3 linked regions of the Cricetulus griseus genome follow. The protein of the gene in region 1 purifies or fractionates together with the protein of each later gene. This does not show direct contact. Links are inferred from orthologs where the notes say so. Each region holds a gene or a part of one and is shown in the gene's direction. Other genes may lie near its edges.

Region 1 (7,255 bases):
GCACAGACAGAATTTCTTCTGGTTCTAGAGTGTTGGCACCCTTCCTTCAGCATCTTGTTCTGCCAAGTGACTGTCAGTGTGGGCAGATCTGTGTGGGGACACTGGGTCCCTGCAGAGTGACACTGGTGTCCTGTGTATCTCTCAGCACTGGCTGTTGTTCCCGGAATGCTCCTAGATTTTCAGGCATGGGCTGCAGGGAAGTGTGCAGAGCCATCGCCCTGTCTAGAGGTGGGCCGTGGCAGCCTGTCAGACAGCATCTTATACGAAGGGATGGGGGCTTGTGGACAGACTGGACTCTGATCTTGAGAAGATGACAAAAGTGTTAGAACTATGACAGATCATAAAAATTCGTCTTGTGTGCTCTAATGGTATGTTATGAACTTTGGAAGTGTATTGGAAAGTGGGGGGGGGGAGTTGACTCTTGGCAATAATCTCAGCACTCCAGAGGCTGAATCGGTTGGATCACCTGGAGTTTGAGGCCAGCCTGGGCTACAGAGTGAGATCTACCCAGGAAGGTGGTTGAGCTGGACCTGTTTGTTGCTCAACACCCAGTAACATTGTTTGCCCCGTAGGCAGCTAGCTTCCCGCTCTTACCTTGTTAAACCTTCCGAGGTCCCTCTGGACAGTCAGGGTGGAATCTGAGGTGAGGTGTTTGGTTTTCCTCCCAGTGATTGAGAAGTTCACAGAAAACACCAGGTTCTGCCTCATTTGTAACTATCTGTCCAAGATCATCCCTGCCTTGCAGTCCAGGTGCACAAGGTTCCGATTTGGCCCCCTGACGCCTGAACTCATGGTTCCTCGCCTGGAGCATGTAGTACAAGAGGAGAAGTGAGTTTGCTTTACAAGAAGGAAGGGGGAGGATCTTGGGGATTGAGTGGCATGAAGACTGGGCAGAGTGCCTAGTCCAAGGGGAAGCCTTCGGGACTGCTGGCTGCTGTCATTTTTCTGTGGGCCCTGGTCATTTTACCTCATGAGCCCCCCCCCCTTTTTTTTTTTTTTTGACAACTCACCTGCCATCCTGAAAGCTGTCCCCTCTGTGTCATGGGAACTGACTATTGCTAAGTCCCTTTTGTAGATGCTGCCAGCTGGCTGGAAGGGAAGGTTCTGAGACATCCATTCTGTCAGATGTAGAGCTGTAGCCTGTTTCTTTCCAGAGAAAGTCACTCACAGCAGCCACTTCCTTAGGGGCTTGGTCCACAGTTAAGACTCTGGGTGGGGCATGGCTACTCATGTGACACGTGTCCCTAAGCACTGCAGTAGCTTCTGGATGCTGTAGGTCAGGAAAGTGTTGTCACCTCTGTTCTGATGTTTTTCTTCCTTTAAAGCCCTAATCATTCAAGGCCATTTTGTTCCCCATAGTTGATGTTGTTTGTGCTCTTTTTGGGGGGTGGGGATGGGGTTTTAATTAACTCCTTTGCCTATTTTAGTGTTGATATAAGTGAAGATGGAATGAAGGCCCTCATCACTCTGTCCAGTGGGGATATGCGCAGGGCTCTGAACATTCTGCAGGTACGATCCCACTCTGGGCATATTAAACCATAGATTTGAAATAGCTTTACAAGACCGACAGACAGCCAATCCATACATTCATTCAGACATCTAGCACCAGTGAGACTCGCCTTGTTGTACACTAGTTTCTTGCCTGTGTGTTCCCCTAAGGGAGACTCAGAACTGCTGCAAGAGAGGCTGGGGGAGGATGCTGTGCAGCAGAGGGCAGCCCTTCCAGTGTGGAAAGTACAGTGACATGTCACTGCAGCAGGACAGCTGTTGACAGCCCCTGGGTCCTCCTGTCTGCAGAGTACCAACATGGCCTTTGGAAAGGTGACAGAAGAGACCGTGTACACCTGCACTGGGCACCCCCTAAAGACAGATATCGCCAACATTCTGGACTGGATGCTGAATCAAGACTTCACCACTGCCTACAGACGTATCCTTCCTTGTGGCTGCTGCCAGGCTCGGGCCCAGCCAGCACCTGCACCACCCAGGTGGAAGGTATCAGCTGGTAGACAGCAGGTGTCCCCAGGTGGAGAGTACCCTTCTCTTACTGAATGGCTCTGGCCTGTGAGAGGCCAAAAGTAGCTTCTCCCTTCAGTTAGGCCTTGGGTGGAGGAAGCAGTCATTAAAGGGGCCTCATTAACTTGTTTTGCAGGGAAATGAAAGGCTACAGATAACGGTGTGATCTTTTAAGGAGCCGTTTGTTCTGCTCTTTAAGAGACAGCTATGCTTCTTAGAAAAGCCTCATTGAAGATAAAACAGGACAAGTTAGAATTGGGCCTGTGTGCAGCTAGAAGTGGAGAGGTTTCTGTCTGTGCTGGGATGAAAAGCCCCACTTTGAAGTCACTCGCCAAGGGCTGGGGTTGAAGCCTCCCTGCAGCCTGTTCTGGAATGGTTTCCCTTCCCTTAGCTGCTCCTCCCTAGACATCATGGAGCTGAAGACTCTGAAGGGCTTGGCTCTGCATGACATCCTGACAGAGGTTCACTTGTTTGTGCACAGAGGTAACTGTGGTGGCCCATGGTGGGGAGGGGTGGGGAGGCATAGCTGTGGGATGGCTACAGAGGGTGTGAGGTTTTCATTCCTATGCAGAAACAGTGTCTGGCCCTTAATCTCCAGCAGCTCTGACTTGCTGTTAAAACTTTGCTCCAAACCCTTCCTAGTGACTGGAGCTGCTGGGTGAGTGAGTAGAAATAGGGGAACTCTATTTCCTCAAGGGAACATCTTAGAGCAGCAAGTGCTGTATTTTACTTTTCACTCTTGTTACATGTCCCCCACACTAGGGATTGAAGCCAAGCCCTTGTACATGCCTGTATACACATGACCTACTACTTCTGGGCTATGTCCACAGACCTCATTTTGGGGATCTGCACGCAGGGCTGTGGCATCCTAAAGCTGCTCTCTAGCCCATGAATCACATTTCCAGGATTGCCTCCCTCAAAGGGGAGATCTGCAAGCAGATCTTCCTTTAAGTTCCCTGCTTTCTGCCTTGTTCCGGGGATCAATCTCTGGTTGGGCCATACCTGCCAGTCACCCCAGATAATGCAGTCAGCATGGGGTGGGGGTAGGGAGAACCACATGCAAGCTTTTAGAAGAGGCTCTCCAGGGAACCCCTCCATATAGCCTTTTGGAAGCTTTTCTTGAGACAGCAGCCTCCTTCAAATGGAGAGGCTCCATCTGGCAACCAGTACAAAGTGTGCTTAAGTTTGGCTTCCTAGTTACTATGTAGCTGTCACCCACCATGGACAGTATTGACTTGTCTGTATTCTTATGATCACTGTACTAGGGGATGAGTACTGTGTGTGATTGAGTGTTCTTGTTTGTTTTTGGTGATGCAGATGATGGAATTTATCTTCTAATGTATGCTAGCCAGCAGTCTTCCACTGAGCCACACCCCAAAACAAAAATCACAAAATAGCCTATAGCCTATGGGTCCTATACCTTCCTTAGCCTATTGGTCTGGTGGCCTGTCATGGGCCTGGGGCTCAACCCTGTCAGAAGCCCCGTGTGTGATGCTTAAGCCTGACCTTTCCTCTGGTTTTATTTGTTTTATACCAATAAGTGACAGGCCTTACTCACTTGATTTTGTTTTTCCCCAGTTGACTTTCCATCTTCGGTTCGGATACATTTATTAACCAAAATGGCAGACATTGAGTGAGTGTTTTCCCGGTTTTAATTCTTTGGATGTCCCCTCTTCTGTTGTAAGCTTTTTAGTTTCAGCTTGTGTGGCTTCGGCTTGTGTGTCATTCAGAAACGGGCGATTTGGTTTGAGGTAGTGCCAAGTAGAATGTGGTGAAGGCTGTGCCCTGCCTGCAGAACACAGGGAAGTAGTACAGAGGGCAAGCACAGCTCAGTCCCATGTCTGAACAAGAGGGTCCCTTCAGTCCTCCAAGCTTTAGCCCATGGCTCTGCTTCAGGTGGGGTATGCAGGTCATTTGGGGGTGCCCAGCTACCCTGCTTATTAAGGCATTGTGGTATATAGGAAGGAGCACAGTGGAGGAAAAGCAAACAAGCTCAATTTTCCACTTTGCTCAGCTCAGTAAACACTGTCATTAGTCCCTAGTAACACTGGTAGCTGTCATTTAAGTGGACAGCACACTGGGCCCTGACCGAATGTCACTATCACCAGCTCCAGCAGGCTGTAACTGGCTCATGTAGACAAATTGGGTCATTTTCTATCACTACGTTGGGAGTGATTTTGCTTTCGGTGGCTAGGCATTTAGGAGTGACAAGATGATGCCAGTGCCCTGCTTTACTGCCTAAACCACAAACCTCCAGCTCCCTTCCCAAGTCCTCCTATCACAGTTTGTAAGCCCTCATCACACACCCTGCGGTCTGTGGAGGGTGAAGTGGGTGGAATTTAGAACCTGATGGTTCTGGGTTTTCAGTCTGTCCTCGGCATCGTCAATCAGATGGCTGAGTTGAGTGTTTGGGCAAGAGACTGTTGGAGGACACGGACAGGAGTGCTATCCAGAGTAGGTATATCAGCTCTGGCTCCCCTTGGCAGGCCACAGCAGCTCTCACGTTCTCGAGCTCACAGGTGGGGGCCTTGTATGCTTTATTCTCAACCTGGGGTTGGTGTCTTCAGGTATAGACTCTCCGTCGGCACCAGTGAGAAGATACAGCTGAGCTCCCTCATCGCTGCTTTTCAAGTCACCAGAGACCTGATCGTCTCAGAGGCCTAGCAGATCCAAGGCCTGATGGCCCTGCCTCAGGCCCATTGGTGACTAGAGGACAGAGGACTTGCTTACCGGTATAGTACTACTGCCCTGTGCCACTGAATAAAGCCGGTCACAGAAGTCTCTCCCCAGGTATTTGGGCAGTGTTATCTGTGGCTGTTTGGAGCCGGGATCTACAGAGCAACTTTAATCTGTAACTATCCACGATGCTTGTCTTTTGTAGGGGAAAATAATTCTTTGGCGGGGGGGGGGGGGGGGAGGCTCTAAAGTCTTTACTGTCAGTTGCTGGGGTGACAATATTGGCCTTACCTCAGTTATGTCTGCATTGTAATGTTCAAGTTGAACACGATTCAGGTGTTGTTCAGCTCAAGGTCTGCATCTCCGATGTTAAACTTTCTCACTTTTGTATCTGCTTTAAATGGGTGCTAGTGAGTTTCTGATCAAAACTGTTCTAATGTGGTAGCACACCTATAATCTCAGAATTCAGGAGGCTGAGGCAGAATTACCAGCCACTTGCATGCCAGCCTAGTGAGATAAATCCAACCAGAAACAAAACACCCGTCTTTCTCTCTCTTTGAAGGCTTCCCAGCAGGTTCCAAATTCTACTGTGACAATAGCAAAGAAACTGTCAAATACAGTTAGCCTTCAGACTGTGCCTTTGTGGGCTAGTAGCTGTGCAGGCCTCACTTGTTGGGGAGGGATGGGATGCTGTAGGTACTCCTTCCTGTGCAGCTGGGCTGTGCTTACATCAGTCCTCCACAGTAAGCACAATAAGGTGCTTGCTCATGCCTGCTGGCCTGCCCACCTACATTCCTATCAAGGCCTTTGTCACTAGTGTCACAGAATAAGCTCTCCTTGGAGGCTGTTCCTTAGAAAGCTGTCAAACTGTTGCCTATAGGTCTCTGTACAATGATAGAGAAACATGTGCATTCCCTGAGCTAGACAAGGGGCTGTGCACAGCTATAGATACTGGAGGGCACCTGGTGCGCCATGACCAACCTGCTGTTTCTTAGATTAGCTGTGTAAGATGCATCTGAGGTGAAGACACTTTCAGCACAATGGACCTTGAAGTTGAGCGTATGCGTCTAAGTGAGAAATCTGTTTTCTTGCCCATAAACAACTTGCTCCCCAAGTTTCCCAGTGGAGCTCAAAGCTGTGGCCAAGTGGTCAGGGGTGGAGGCAACATCTCAGCCACATGGCTGAACTGCCTACTAGTGTCCCGTTCTCCTTTGTGGTGTTTGGAAAAAAAGGAACGGAGACAAGTTTTCTTGTTCTCTTTTCTCCCTTCAATGAAAGCCTCGTTTTGCAATGTTTTCTTCAAATGATAGAGGAGACTCTTTGCACACACTGTACACTGTTAACACTGCCCCTTAAAGCATCAATTAAGAAAAGCCAAAGAGTAAGGTGTTGTTTCTTTTAAAATAATTTAAAATATATTAACTTTCCTAAGGCAGATTTTGTGTGAGTGAGGCATCTTGAATAGGTAGCTGTTGCTGCCGGTGAAGAGCGGTGCTCGGAAGGGGCTGTCTGTTTAGGGCAGTTGGAATTGGAGGGTGAATCCCATGAGGTCAAGCAGTAGAGACAAACACACGCACATGACAGCATGAGCCAGTGACAATACTGACTTCACACAACTAAGACATGGCTTCACAACTGGGCCACTTAAGAACTCTTGGTTTTTAAAGACCACTGAGAAAACACAGTTGTACCTTAATATCTGCTGAGAAAATACAAATAAATATGATGCTGATAAATGGACATCTGACCGTCATGCAGTTGAGGACACCTCCTCATATGATCTGATGTACTTGTTTGTCATTTCCTACACATGCACACCACTGTTTAAAGAAAAATAAAAGCCAGTATTGGTGTATTGGTGAGGAGCACAGCCCAGTCCACCTGCAGCTTAGTAACATAACTTAGTTCCATAGGACTGTCCTGGCCAGAAGCATGTGCCAAATATGAATGTTCCTCTGACCAGAGCAGAGGAACTTCAAACCATGCAGTCACTGACTGGAAACGGGCAGCAGGTACTACGCTGCATGGCAGGCACTTCCCAGTGAAGGGAGTGTGGAGTTGGCCACCACCACACAGGCTCTGGAGCCTGCTTGCTTTTATTACCCAGACAACATCCACAACTGCACCTGGCTTCAAGACAACTAGACCAACAAAGGCTGCTCACAATGGACAACGACGAGGTAAGGCTGGCACTGCACAAGTGGCATCACTCAGACCTACTTGCATGTGCCAGTGGGGTAAAGGTCCACAGCAGGTCCAGTGTGATCTGGTGGCTCCACCCTAGCCAGTCCCTTGCATTGCTTCTGCTATAGGAGTCGGGATGCCGGGCTGCTAGAAAGTCCTGTACGTGAGGAACTCTTTCATCTTCTTGGGGATTGGCAGTGCTAGGACTTGGTACGTGGTCAGGAAACTTCGAAGGGCTTTTCTGCATAAATGCTTCAGTGAGGACAGGACACGGGGGGCTGTCCAGAACTGAACGTGACCATCTCTCGTCCTGAAACAACAGAAAAACCAATCCTTAGCAGGCCCTAGGGAGTTTTCCCAGTAGTGGTTGTCCCAGTTTGAC
Region 2 (7,334 bases), on another chromosome or scaffold:
TTCACTGTAGCCCTCCTGCTTCAGCTTCCAAGGTACTGGGACTATAGTATGAGTCACCATGCCCTGCTTTTGTTTATACTTAAAACATACAATACACATAGAAACTAAATGAGAAATAATATCCTTCTAAAGGTAAGCTTAGATATTGTAATCTAGTAAATTCAGAACAGTAAGATACTTCCTTACTCTGGTTGATCCGTATCATTCACAGATAGTCAAGAAGACAAATGTAGATCACAGAAAATCAGACCAGTTAATTTGTTCTGTGCTACCCTACCTGTTTCACAGTTCAAATCCCCTGTGCTCTAAGGTAAACCCATGAAACCTTTAGAAGAAACATATACAGCCAAAAATGGGATCACAGTTGTTAGTGAGCCAGTAGCTGGATGAATCCTAGTCATACTCAAGATGCATCAAAAGTCTATTTGCTCTAGGGATTTAGAGAATAGAGCTAAATCTATGTGCTGATCCATGTTCAAGTAGAGTCTACTTCTAGAAGTTGGTTACTTTTTCTAGTTATGTCATTGATTTTTTTCTTTCAAACAGTGTCTCATGTAGCCTTGACTATCTTCAAACTCACTAAATTCACCTTGAGCTTCTGATGCTCCTGCCTCTATCTCCTCAGTGATGTGGTTTCAAGCACGTGCCATCATGCTTGGTTTTACGTAGTGGTGGGAATCAAATCCAGGATTGTGCGTACCTAGGCAGTTATTCTCAGCCTTAGTTACAACAATGAAAATTATGTTTTTCTTGATAGTATCACCTGGTTCATGATTGTCCACCTTGAGTCTTATGCTCTTTTCCTAGCAGGCAGTGCCTTGCCCAGTCTTCGTCAGCCATACCTGGGCTCATTGTGATTTCTGTTTAGCCTGGATGCAAGTATCCTTGCTGACTGAGAATGTCTAACACTAAGGAATGTCCTTAGTGTTATAATCTCCTTGATTCTGTGAGGGTAATGGCTACTGCAGGAGGTAGGCAGTGACTTGTAGTAGCAAATTAAAACAGTAGACTTGTGACAAGTGTTCTTTTGTTGGTTCTGTGCTTCTTAAATAAATAACTATTTCTTACAAATACTTAGAATGATGTGTTTATTTTTAACCAAAAAAGTAAAGCAGAAAGGATTGTTTGTAACCCTACCCTGTGTTAGGTTCCACATATTTTAATGTATTCAGTATAGAGTCTGTGAGGTAGATAGTGCTATTCTAAGGTTATAGAGGGTAGGTAGGGCATGGTGATTCACACCATTAGTCTCAGCATTTGGGAGGTAGAGACAGGCAGATCTCTTAAGTTCAAGGACAACCTGTTCTATATAGTGAGTTCCAGGACAGCCGGGGCTATATAGAAAGATACTGTCTCAAAAACACAAAATAAAGTAAAATAATCAGAGAATAGTAGAAATTTGTTTTCTTATGAGTTTAGTTTTGTTTCAATATGAATTTTTTGTTTTGTTTTATTTGAACTAGAGTCTCACTATATAGTCCCTGGCCTGGAGCTTGCTATGTAGACCAGGCTGTCCTCAAAACTCATAGAGATCTGCCAGTCTCAAGATTCCTGAGTGCTGATCAGTATAAGCTTTGTTGTTTTTTGTTCATTTGTTTTTGAGGCAGGGTCTGACTACCAGTCCAGTAGCCTGACTGGCCTGGAACTTTCTCTGTTGACCAAGTTGGCCTCCAACTCACAGAGATCTTCCTGCTTCTGACTTCTAAATACTGAGATTAATGGCATAAACCACCACACCTAGCAATATAAACTTTTTATTGAAGTATAGTACATACACATGTGGTATAAAGTATAAAAATTACATATATAACTTGATATAACATTAAAATTTGAATGTAGGTTTAACATTAAAGGTAATTTTTTTCTAATGTATAATTTTTCACCTAAAGTAGCCTTCCTGAGCTGGGTAGATAATTCAGTGGGTAAGAATGCTTCCATGTACAAGTATAATGACCTGAGTTCAAATCTCCAGCAAGTCATCTATGGTGGCTGTACAGGCCTATAAATCCAGTGTTGCAGGTAAGCAAAGTCAGGAGGATTGTTGGGACCTGCTGGCCACCAAGCTAGCTCCAGGTATAATGAGAGAACCTACAAGAGAATAAGGTTAAAGTGATAGATCAGGACACCTGACATCCTTCTCCAGCCTCTGCATGCATCCTTATATACACGTGTGTGCATATATCACACACATCTTGTATGTATACACACAAAGTAGCCATTTGAAGTTTTTCTATCCATTTATTTGAACTGTGAAATCTGTATTTATAGTTAATAGTTCATATTATTTTACTTGAAATAAATGTGTTTTTCCCTTCCTTTTTTTTTTTTTTTTTTAAATTGTTAGCCATGTAAAAAGCGGAGAAAAGATGATGACAGCTCTTCCTGTGAAACAATTACCAAATATTTATCACCAATAGAGAAGACTGGAGACAAAGTCTTCTCTCCACCAAAACCTAGTAATATTCTTCATTATTTTAGAAAGACTTCACCCACAGATGAGAAGCTACAATCGACAAAGGAGTGCAAGATAAAGCCATCTCCCTCGTTGCTTGTTGGCAATAGCAAAGAGTGTAAGACACCTTTGGAAGTGCTCTCAAATACAGAATTTAAGAAAAAAGGAAAGAGAGTTAATTTATCTCATCAACTGAATGACATTAAAATTGAATCTGCAGTTGGAATTAGTAGTGGTGATAGTAAGGAGGACTGTGATTTAAGTGATTTTGTGGAAAGCAGGACTGATGTTTTCCTTTACAAGAAACATGTAGAGGTTCTTGAAGAAAGCAGTCAAGACAGCAGAACCCAGCCCAATACAATGACTTCCAAAAAAAATTCCCAGAAAGGAAATCCTAAACAAGGCACCTCAAAAAATGATGGCAAAAGATTGAGAAAAAGAAAGCACAGCAAGGTACTAGATCTGTCTGAAAGTTTACCCTTGACAGACGAAATAAGTCTGCCTAAGAAAGGTGGCAAGGACGGTAAACAGACTAAACCCTCCCAGGCCGATGAAAACGAGAGGACTGCAAATCATGTAGACTCCAGGGCTTGTGCAACCAAAATAGCTGATCTAAACAAGAGTACAATAACTGTCTCCTATGAGGAATTTTTAAAAAGTCACAAGGCAGCTAGAGTGGAAGAGATGCCTGACCCTGTAGTGCCAGCTTGTGTTACTTCTGGACCTGATGAAGCTGTCAAAAGTGGTTCTGAAGGTGAATTAGAAAGCTGTGAATTATCTCCACAGGTACACCTTAAGACAGTCACTGTTCTTGCACAAGTTCACCCGACTCCCCCTAAAAAGAAAGGGAAAATACCCTCAATATTTTTGAAACAGAAGCAGCTTGAGCTGGAGAGTAGCTTCTCTGACCCAGAGAATGAGCAGACAGTTCAGAAAAGAAAATCGAATGTTGTGATCCCGGAGGGCCAGTTAGAACTGGCAGTGCTGGAAGCTGGGAGCTCTGAAGTTTCAGTACCAAAATGCAGCGTGGAAGAGAGACAGCAGTTCATGAGAGCATTCAGACAGCCACCATCAGAATTGCTCAAAAATGGGCTCAAGAAACCTGTGGAGAAGCAGAAAGACCCAAGTGAAAAATCTGTAAATGAAGAAGGTGTTAACAGTTCTGAAAAAATCATAGACAATCCTAATATCCAAATAGTTTCAAAGCATGGCAGTTCACAGTCACACACTGATAAAGCAAGTTTTCCTAACGAGAAAAGTAAAAAACCAAAGAAAAAGGGTAAGAAAATGATAGGCACTAGGACAGTCCCAGGTGGAAATGGAGAAGAAAGCATGGAAAAGGAAGAAACATCCTTTTCCTCAAAAGATAAACAAAACCAAAATAGCCTTCGAAGGAGTTTAAGGCAGAAGTCTGAAGTTTTCAAAAGCAATTCAATACTTAGCAGTGAAAGTCTGGTTTGTGAGGATATAGCACATGATTCTTTAAAAAAGTCTCTGTGTGACAGAAATAAATCAAGAAAACACAGCACACCAATCAGGGATATGGTTACACATTCCAAAGCTGAGCCTGAAAACAGACTGGTAAACGTTTCCACACCCAAATCAACCAGGAGATCTCTAAGAGGCAGCAGCATGCCTGCCACAGTCACCTGTAGAGGTTCTGAGTCTGAGGATGCCCAGGACACTAGTCCAGTGAAAGCTTCCACTCCAAAAGCAGCCAGCATGTCAGAAAAACACAGCCTGTACACAGCGGAATTAATAATAATACCCTCTGATTCGGAGAGCCCCATTAGGTAAAGTTTTGTTTTTCTTCTCAAGTTGGAACATTCTACATGCATTGTTAATTGGGAAGGGGAATTCTTCAAGCATTGTAGAGTTCATTTATTTTCTAAAATACAGTTTATTTATGTGTGTGTTTTTTATGTGTATACAACCCCAAGGACTGAACCTCATAGGTAAGTAGTCTACCACCAAGCTAAGACTCCATCCTCATTTCATCCTGAGACAAGGTCTCCTAGGTTGCCCAGGATGGTTAAACATGCTCTCTCTCTCTCTCTCTGTACTCTTCCAAGTAACTGGGATGACAGATCTGTACCACCAAACCTGGCTTTTGTTTGGTTTATTTTTGTTTTTCAAGATAGAGTTTCTCTAGCTGGGTGGTGGTGGCCCTTGTCTTTAATCCCAGCACTGAGGAGGCAGAGGCAGTCGGATTTCTGTGAGTTTGAGACCAGCCTGGTCTACAAAAGCTAGTTCCAGGACAGCCTCCAAAGCCACAGAGAAACCCTGTCTCGGGGGGGGGGGGGGGGAAAGACAGAGTTTCTCTGTGTAGCCTTAGTTGTCTTGGAAGTACTCTATAGACCAGGCTGGCCTCGAACTCAAAGAACTCAAAGAAATCTGCCTGCCTCTGCCTCCTGAGTACTGGGATTAAAGGCCTATACCACCACTGCCCAGCTAGTACTAAACTCTTGTTTTTTTTTTGTTGTTGTTCTGTTTTATTGGTTTTTCGAGACAGGGATTCTCTGTGTAGCTTTGAAGCCTCTCTTGGAACTCACTCTGTAGACCAGGCTGGCCTTGAACTCACAGAGATCCACCTGCCTCTGCCTCCAGAGTGCTGGGATTAATGGCGTTTGCCCACCGACACCCGGCTATTGCTAAATTCTTGTTTGTCATATTAATAGCCCTCAAATATGAGTGCATCAAATATGAGATTAAAAATAAATCATAAGAGCATTTTTTTATTGTTGGTTTGAAACAGGGATTCTCTATATAGCCTTGGCTGTCCTGGAACTCTATGTAGACCAGTCTGACCTCCAACTCAAAGATAACCATTCCTCTGTGTCTTTGGTACTGAGATTAAAGTCATGTTCCATCCTGCCCAGCTGAGTGTTATTCCTTAGTACATGATGGAGTATATTCCTGGATACTGGGCCTATCTGATGGTATAGTGATCCAGGGACAAGTTTTAATTTTCTTCAAGAAGTATTATTTTTCTCTGTTTATTTGCTTTTGCTGTGCTGAGTGGGGTTAAACTCAGGGCCTTGCTCATGCTAGGCAGGTAGGTTTATCTTCCCTCCTTTCTTTTCTTTTCCTCCTTCCATCCTCTTTTTTTGTTTTTTAAGACAGGGTCTTCCTTGGATAGCTTAGAACTTTCTATAGAGACTAGAGGGTATCATGAGTGATCCTCCTGCCTCTGCTTCTCAACTGCTTGGATTATGGATGTGCATCACTGTAGTTGAACCTTTTCTTTAGGACTGCCAGCCCCCAATAATGACACAGAGACTTATTATTAATTATGAAAGCTTGGCTGTTAGCTTAGGCTTTTCCCACTAGCTCTTAAAACTTAAATTAACCCATTTCTATTTATCTGTGTGGTGCACGTCTTTAGTCCCAGCACTCGGGAGTCAGAGGCAGGAGGATTTCTGTGAGTTTGAGACCAGCCTGGTCTACAAGAGCTAGTTCCAGGACAGCCTCCAAAGCTGCAGAGAAACCCTGTCTCAAAAACAACAACAAAAAGATTTTACTTACTATTTTTATATTATTTATTTTTTCTATGACTATTTGTATTTTATTTTTAAGCACATTGTTAAATATACTGTAACCTGTTTAGAGGTTTTCCCTGTCTGAACCCTTTTTATTACATATCTGTAACCTTTCTGTCTGCATCAGCAAAAACTTAAACTCACCATGTGGGGCTCATGGGGCACTGGTGGCTCAAGCACTCAGGCAGCTGCTGGGAGTAGCTTTCTGTACCATGGCCAGCATTAGAGACAGGAGATTGAGAAGCTGAATTAGACTGTTTTTGTATTTAGAACCGCTCCCGGGTGGGGGGGGGGGACGGACTGGGCGCCAACTCAGAGATGACCTATAGTCCGTGATGGTAAGACTTCTTTATTCAGATAAACACCAGAGCAAAACGCAATCCAGAGCGAGCTCACAGGAACCAAGCTCGTGGCCAGAGAGAAGGGGCCAAGGTCTCCACGTGCAGCCCTTAAGAACCTTCCCTTAAGTCACCCCGGCTTCCCTTCACCCCGCCCAGGGTCCACCTGGCACCTGTCCGTCTTGCCATTGGGCGGGGCTAGGGTGTCTACACACACACAGGGTGTCCAGGGTCCACCTGGCACCTGTCCGTCTTGCCATTGGGCGGGGCTAGGGTGTCTACACACACAGGGTGTCTACACACACACACACACACACACACACACACACACACACACACAGGGTGTCTACACACACACACACACACACACACACACACACACACACACGTTGAATGCCATTTGTAGTTGGTTGGACCTTTTTGTCAGGACTGCCAGATAATGACACAGAGACTTATTAATTATAAAAACTTGGTTGATAGCTTAGGCTTGCTAGCTCTTATAACTTAATCCATTTCTCTTTACCTATGTGTTGCCACATGACTCTCGGGCATTTAACTGTCCTCCCGCATGTCTTGCTCCCACTCTGCCTGGCTGGTGACTTCCCACATCTCCACCCTTTTTCCCAGCATCCTTTCTGCCCTGAAAATCCTGCCAAGCTATTGGCTGTTCAGCTTTTTAGTAAACCAATGCAAGTGACAAATTTCACAGTGTGTGAAAAGATTATTTCACAACATATCACCACACCTGTATAAGGCTTATTATTTGGGGGTGGGGCATTGAGAATGGGTTTTTTTGTGAAGGCTTGGCTGTCCTGGAACTTACTTACTCTGTAGACCAGACTGGCTTTGAAGTCAAAAGATTGCCTGCCTCTGTCTTCCAAGACTGGGATTAAAGTCATGTGGCCCTATCGCCTGGCAAGACTTACTGGTTTTAATTTTTTGCAAGCAAGCAAGATTTTATTGAAAAGTAAGCTCTCCACAGCAGGGAGCGGTCCTAAAAATGTG
Region 3 (7,334 bases), on another chromosome or scaffold:
TAAAAATGTTGATGCTGGGTAATAGTGCCCAAATAGCAATCATAATCTTTTCTTTGTAAAAGCAGAACATTTCTTAAATGAAAGAAAGACCCACAGCCCTGCTAAGTGCAGCAAAGGCGGGAACTCTAAAGGATCTGAGCATCCCTCCAGATCGTTAGCTCATCAGAAGGAAGCCTGTTCTTCTCCCAAGGCCAGCTCCAAGCTGGCACTTATGAAAGCAAAAGAAGAAAGTTCTTACAAAGACACAGAGCAGATGGCCTCAAAAAGAAAAGAAAACACCATTGAACTCAAAGGAGAGAAACAGACTCCTAAAAAAACCAAAAGTTCTCCAGTTAAAAAAGAGGTAGGAAATTTATGAAAAGTATGTATTTTGGGAAAAATGTTGGTTTGAGTTTGATTGTTTTCAACTTCCTACATTTATACACACACACACACACACACACACACACACACACACACACACACACACACACACACACACACATAATTTGGGGAAGAGGGGAGGGAGGGGAAACTTTGGGATGTGAAAAAAAAAAACAACAATAAAATAAATATAATTTGAAGCTGGGGGTATAGCTAAGTGCTTGCCTAAAATATTTGAGCCCCTGTGTTTGATCCCAGAAGACATATCTTTTAAGTCTCTTAGAGAACATTCATTATTAACATAGCGAAATGATCCACTATTCATTGCTGTTGTATATGGGAAACTGTGCTCATATTCATACATCCCATAGCCTTCACCTTTGAGATATTTACTTTTATTATTTAAGTAGTAAAGATGAAGAAACAGGTTGAGTTTAAGTAACTTTCCCAAGATTATCTGTGACTAGTCTTGACTCTCTGAAGACAGAGTAGCAGTGTGAACATTGAGCCTTCAAGCAGTCTGGAGCCAGGTTTAGATCACAGCTCTACTGCTGAACAGATACGTGATCCTGATTTGGTTACATCTCTGTGTGGATGTAGAATAGACATAAGATGATGCCTTGGGCACCAACGAGATGACTCATGGGTAAGGATCCTATACCTGAGTTCTGTTCCTGAGACCTACATGGTAGAAGGAGAGAACTGTCTTCCACAGTTTGTTCTCTGACCTCCACACATGTTGTAGTGCACGCGCGCGCACGCGCAGACACACACACACACACACACACACACACACACACACACACACACACACACACACACGAAGTAAATGTAATAAAAAAATTTTAAAATGTGTTTAATGATTTATACAACCATTTAGAGCAGTGCCTGGGATGTAACAATTGCTATCTGAATTTTAGCTTTTGCTTGAAGTATCAGTTAACTTTTTGCCCTCAGATTTTTCTTCACTAAATACTTATCTGGTGGAAAGGTATTTCTTCAGGCATACTAAGTACATGGGGAAGTTTACAGAGGGTGACTATTTTGGGGGAGGAGGAGATAAAAGTTTTAAAAAAGTGATACTGTTATTTTTATGGTGTTTTCAAAGCTGGACTCAGTAACTCAGAACCCGTACGTAGGAACATTAGAGTTTAGTAAATTCAGTTGATCTTAGTCAAGTAATTCTGACATAGTAAGTGAATATGCTTCAGGTGTTTTATAGCCAGTTGTGGTGCATACCTGTAATCCCAGGACTTGGGAAGCCGAGGAAGGAGGATTGATAGTTTAAGGTCAGCTTCAGCTACGTAGTGAGACCTGTCACAGAACAAACAACAAGGCAGGTAGGCATGCAGAAAGTCCAAAGTTATTTCACATTTTTACAAGATAGAATTACTGCTACAGGGGGCTGAAGAGATGGCTCAGAGATTCAGAGCACTGCTTGCTCTTCCAGAGGTCCTGAGTTCAATTCCCAGCAACCACATGGTGGCTCACAGCCAACTATAATGAGATCTGGTGCCCTCTTCTGGCATGCAGACATACATGTAAGCAGAATACTGTGCACATAATAAAGAAATAAAAAAAAAAAAAAAAAAAAAAAGAATTGCGACTACAAATGAGTGACGCTCCCAGTTGTATATGGTTGTTAAAAATATGGCTTCCCAGGGCACATGGTCTAGGCAGCTGTATTTTGATAAGGACTTTTTTTAGTGGGTGAGAGCCATTGTTAAGTAGGGTTGGGGCCAGATGTGATGGTATATGCCACTAATATCAGCACTCAGGAGGCAAACATAGGTAGATCTCTTGAGTTCAAGGCCAGCCTGGTTTACATAGTAAGTTCCAGGCCAGTCAGGGCTTCACAGTGAGACCCTGTCTCAGCAACAACAGCAAAAGGCTTGGATTCTAAGATCAGCTGCAGTAGTTGGTTTAACTCAAAACCAGCTTAACTATCTTATTGATCATATCACTTATTTATGCAAATGAATATTTTGTCTACTTTAAGAGATTTGGAGTTACATTTAAGTTAAAAGCAATATAAAGTAGGAATTGGAAAAATAATGTAGTAGTTCTAAAAGTTATCTAGGGGACCCTCCCCAATATACACGTGCTAGATACATCCAGTATCTCTGAATCAGAAATACATGCATACATACATACACACACATACATGTATCTCCATTTATATCTGTCTGTCTACCTACCCATCCATCCATCCACATCCATCCATCTAAATTAAATGTAATTCTTTCTAGGTACATCTTAATTTTACATGACTTTTTTTTCTTTCCCTGTGTCCAAAGTCTGTAAGTCCAGAAGATTCTGAAAAGAAGCGTACTAATTATCAAGCTTATCGAAGCTACTTAAATCGTGAAGGTCCCAAAGCTCTGGGCTCCAAAGAAATACCCAAGGTAAGAGTCACGAGGATTGTGCTACTCTGTGCTACTCTGCCTCCTGTTCCAGCAAAGAGCCAGTATTAACAGAAAGGTCTCAGCTACCTTTTTATGAATTAGAAGTTCTTATTTACATTGTGACTCACTGGTGTCCTTTAAATAATAAGTAGCCTGAGAAGGGATGTGCTTTTCCATGCCTTCATGGACTCAGAGCTTAAGGAAAAGCATGGTAAATGCATTAATATCTGATAGTGATTGTAGTACCGTGCTGTGAGAGAAAAGTCCTAGGTGCTCTTAGAGAGTATAGTAGAGAAACATGGATGATCCTGGGTGGATCATTTAGATCAGTGGTTCTCAACCTTCCTAATGCTGTGACCCTTTAATACAGTTACTCTTGTGGTGACCCCAACATAAAACTTTTTGTTGCTACTGTTAGGAATTGTAGAAAAGAGAGCCTTATCATAGCCTCTATATAAAGATGGGGGTGAAAACCAAAGTGGGATTGACAAGTAGCAGCCCAGATGTGAGAAAGAAGTCTGATGTGAGTGGTATAGGAGAAGTGCAGGCAAGAAAGGTGATTGAGTGGTATGATCTGCTATGTTGTGAAAGTTGCAACAATGAGAAGACTCAGACTTGTCCATTGTATTTAGTAACGTGAGTGATGGTCCTTAATGGCCCCAGCAAGAACAGTAGAGACAACTGATGCAGTGGCTTCAAGAGTCTGAGGTGACAAATGGAGACGTGTTTTTGATAAGTTTGGTTGTGAAATAGAAATGAAGAGTGGGATTTAAGGGAAGAGGTGAATGTTTTTAAGGTTGGAGGTGTACTTAAGACGTGTTTCTTGCTGATGGAGTAGACCCTCCCCAAGGGAAGGATAATTAACTGTGCCATGGGGCTTCTGAGAATCTAGGAGATAAATTTGGTAGACATTTAAATTTAATTTTCACTTTGCTACATAAGGCGATTAGAAGTTCCCCTAAGAAGAAAGGGTAGGTAGCTAGAGGGAAGGGAAAGGGGCTGGAAGAAGAGATCAGCCTTGCCTCCTGTATAGGGTGTAACGCTGAGAGACTGAACAAGTAAGTGCCTGTTGGAGGACTTTAGGGCAAATGGTGTCCCTACGGGACTGCTGTGTTTTTGTGACAGCAAGGCTGTGAGGGAATGTTGAAGAGGCTGCCAGGAGTTTCCTGGAGTCAGAGCTGTAGAGGAGTCTAATGGATGAGATGGTAAGGACGCTGGTGAGGCTGAGCTTGGGTCAGTAACATGATATTGTGAGCTCTAGTGGGAGAGCACTAGGGAGACAGTAGTTTGGGGTTTGAAAGGAGGAGCTTCTTGATGTGGAGTTCTCCAGGGTGACTTGGAGTCTGTTGTGAAGATTTAATAGTTCATTTCACTCCTAGAAATGGAAGGACTGAAGAGAAGCTGTTAGCCATTTTCCCCTTTCTTTCTCAGTAAATAATAACTATTCTTTCCTCCTTTGTTCTAAGAAAGGTTCTTTATGTGGCAGAGGAATGATCAGCTTACGCTGGAATATGCTTCCAGTTTTCTTTAACTTTTTTTAAAATCTCAGTGCTATTCACAGAGTAATAAGGAGCAGGGCATATCATGTAGAATGACCATTTTGTTTGTATAATTTAGTTGATGTTATAAAAATTTTGAAAATCTATAACTGTACGGAGTTGTAGTTCAGACTTAAGAAGAGAAGCCCGGTCAGCTCTTAGATGGCCAGTTATCTTTGTTCTATGCTTCTAGCAGTTTCTTAGGTTCACTCTCAGTCGGGTAATGATCAGAGAATGATAAACGCTCCAACTTGATAGGCTTTCCAGAACCCAAGCTGTACTTTAACAACAGTGGGCTTGTCAGTGGGCAGATTACATTTGATTGTTTACTTGAAGCTATGAAAGCAAATTACTGATTTAAATATGAAAAGTGGAGAATTGCATGAATGGGTAATTTTAATTTTGGTAACAGTATGTTTTTCCTCATTCATTTGGTATGTGTTAAATGTTAGCTATGTAGGAATTCATCAGGATTTACTTTGAGGTTCTGCTGTAATTTCTATCTAGGTTTCATGCTGGGGTCTTTATTCATCATTATTTATGATGTCAAGTCAGCTTGTTCAGCTATATTTCTTTGGAAAGCTACCTTGTAATTTCTTCTCTGCTTGAACATTTTGGTTTTTAGGGAGCTGAAAATTGCTTGGAAGGACTGACATTTGTGATCACAGGCGTGCTGGAGTCCATTGAACGGGAAGAAGCCAAGTCTCTAATTGAACGTTATGGGGGCAAAGTAACAGGAAATGTGAGCAAGAAAACCAACTATCTCGTTATGGGCCGGGATAGCGGACAGTCCAAGAGTGACAAGGTGGGTCCTGCTGGCGCTCTTCACAGTAGTACCTGCCTGCCAGTGTGGCTGTTTGTGGTAATGCTCCTGGCCACATTACAGTTAAAAAAGAAGAGAAAGAACGCCTTCACCCTGTAGTTTTGTCTTCTTCACATACCGTATGTGTGTTTTTGGTTGTGACTACAGATTTTGGTTTGTTTAATTGGAAGCATCGTTGCTATTTACTTGATTTTCTTTGTGTATTCTAGTTTTAAAAATATTGTTAACATAGAAACATACAGGTTTTTGTTTTGTTTTGTGTTTTGGTTTTTCGAGACAGGGTTTCTCTGTGTCGCTTTGGAGCCTATCCTGGCACTCGCTCTGGAGACCAGGCTGGCCTCGAACTCACAGAAATCCTCCTGTCTCTGCTTCTTGAGTGCTGGGAATTAAAGGCATGCACTGCCACTGCCTGGCAAAATCTTAAAAATAATTAAAAATAAATTCTAGTGTTAATTTACAGTGTGGTGATTCATCTGCTAGTAAGCCTTAAAGTAAAATTTCCTCTCCAACAACAAGTAGTTTATATGGAGCTCTGATGACTTGTATTTTAATCAACAGGCAACAGCTTTGGGAACAAAAATCCTTGATGAAGATGGTCTGTTGGATCTGATTCGAACTATGCCAGGCAAGAAATCCAAGTATGAAATAGCTGCTGAAGCTGAGGTGTGTATAAGACAAACCTGGTTTATTGAAGTTGGTATTAGAAGCCTCCTGTTTGATAGAGATGCACAATAGACAGTACTTTTGGCTAGAAAATCAAACTCCTGTGTAAAACAAGTAAATTCACCTTCTTTCTTTTTGACCTGGAAGACTGTCTCAGCATGTCTTTGGTGTTTCTTTACTTTTCAGGGGAGGAGAGAGGGAGTGTAACATATAGTGTGTTGTGTGTAACCTACCTTCTCATCCTTATTGTCCATATATATATATACATCTCATAACATACATACATGCATACATACATACACACACACACACACACACACACACACACACACACACATATATATTTCAAGGTTAAAAAATTTACTTAGCCTTGGCTGGTAAGGAACTTGATATGTAGAGCAGACTGGCCTCAGACTCAGAGATCTGAATGCCTCTACCTCTGAAATGCTGGGATTAAAGGCATGTGCCACCACACCTGGCCTCAGTTTTTAAATTGTGTGTGTGTGGGGGGGGGGGTGGGGGGTGGGGGTGTATGCATGCTCTTGAATGTGGTGTCCACAGAGGCTATAAGAGGGCATCTTTCTCTAGAACTAGAGTTCTGGGCAGTTGTAAACCACCTAATATGGGTTCTGGGAGCTGAACTTGGGCTCCTCTGCAAGAGAAGTAAGTGCTCTTAATTGCTGAGTCATGTCTTCAGTCCATATTCTGTATTCTTGTAGACTTTACATGGCCCTGCCTGAAAGTTTTGTTTTCTATTCTTTGTTTTTTAAAGAGGAGTTTATTAGTATCTTTAGTGAAACTTTATTAGGAATTTTTCAATTATGATAGAAACTAGTCTCTGTTGGCTTTCAACAAAGGGGAGAAAAAAAGAAGAAAGAGTTGACTCACATCTAAGCTGGGGGCAGGATGAACTTGGTCCATCCTTCTGAACCCTTCCATTTTCTGTGTTTGCGCCTCCCAGTGCTGTCACATTGATTCCACTATCTATCTGTGTGTCCACATGCAGGACACAGGAGTGCCTGGATGCCAAGATTATTGTCCCTTGTACCACCACCAGTGTGACAAGATGGTCTGCCCAGTTTATTCCAATAGAAAAGTCCCAGGGGATGATGTAACCATGGTCAAGTTGCAATAAGTAGGGAATGAATGTTGCTGCTTCATGGTTAGCTACAGTGTTTGTTCACCACACTGCACCTTTTCTCTGCTCCAGGTTCCTGCACTACATTGACTTGTGCTGTCTCAGCCTCCTCCAGCCTAGGGTAGTTCTGTCTTTCCTTATTTTATCCTGGTTAGTTGTTTGTAGAATGTCTATCATGGCATTGTGTTACATTTCTCACAATTAGATTGTGTTACCCAGTTTGTCATGAATACCACAGGGTTATACTGTGTCCCTTTTAGTGTGTCTCATGTACATGACATTGATAAATCTTGTTAACTTGGTTGAGATAGTCTGCTGGTCTTCTTGAGTGGATAGTTATTTTGAATCTTCAAAAATGTCTTCTCTTAAATGGTCATTCATAAGTTCTAGCATTACTGGAAGGC

What was found. The genes of interacting proteins can lie anywhere in the genome.
Region 2: the proteins of Rfc5 (region 1) and Atad5 purify together in Homo sapiens (affinity purification with mass spectrometry; 4 studies listed by BioGRID and IntAct, counting the BioPlex papers as one, with this or other methods). This does not show direct contact. The link is inferred for Cricetulus griseus from reciprocal best matches to the Homo sapiens genes RFC5 and ATAD5.
Region 3: the proteins of Rfc5 (region 1) and Rfc1 purify together in Homo sapiens (co-immunoprecipitation; 6 studies listed by BioGRID and IntAct, counting the BioPlex papers as one, with this or other methods). This does not show direct contact. The link is inferred for Cricetulus griseus from reciprocal best matches to the Homo sapiens genes RFC5 and RFC1.

Annotation. Positions count from the first base shown.
Region 1 is NC_048597.1:97,321,564-97,328,818, reverse strand, and holds the end of Rfc5 (replication factor C subunit 5), read left to right. Parts: intron 1-594; exon of another isoform or gene 595-668; coding exon 669-828; intron 829-1,427; coding exon 1,428-1,509; intron 1,510-1,797; coding exon 1,798-1,927; coding exon of another isoform or gene 1,928-1,992; intron 1,993-2,149; coding exon of another isoform or gene 2,150-2,179; exon of another isoform or gene 2,180-2,194; intron 2,195-2,404; coding exon of another isoform or gene 2,405-2,418; coding exon 2,419-2,496; intron 2,497-3,591; coding exon 3,592-3,646; intron 3,647-4,580; coding exon 4,581-4,677; 3' UTR 4,678-5,084; downstream 5,085-7,255. Other genes in the region: Wsb2 (WD repeat and SOCS box-containing protein 2), read right to left, coding at 7,021-7,183. UniProt on the Homo sapiens protein: Subunit of the replication factor C (RFC) complex which acts during elongation of primed DNA templates by DNA polymerases delta and epsilon, and is necessary for ATP-dependent loading of proliferating cell nuclear antigen (PCNA) onto primed DNA.
Region 2 is NC_048600.1:93,542,120-93,549,453, forward strand, and holds part of Atad5 (ATPase family AAA domain-containing protein 5), read left to right. Parts: intron 1-2,344; coding exon 2,345-4,245; intron 4,246-7,334. UniProt on the Homo sapiens protein: Has an important role in DNA replication and in maintaining genome integrity during replication stress.
Region 3 is NW_023276807.1:132,327,546-132,334,879, reverse strand, and holds part of Rfc1 (replication factor C subunit 1), read left to right. Parts: intron 1-62; coding exon 63-343; intron 344-2,660; coding exon 2,661-2,768; intron 2,769-4,931; coding exon 4,932-5,111; intron 5,112-5,687; coding exon 5,688-5,792; intron 5,793-7,334. UniProt on the Homo sapiens protein: Subunit of the replication factor C (RFC) complex which acts during elongation of primed DNA templates by DNA polymerases delta and epsilon, and is necessary for ATP-dependent loading of proliferating cell nuclear antigen (PCNA) onto primed DNA.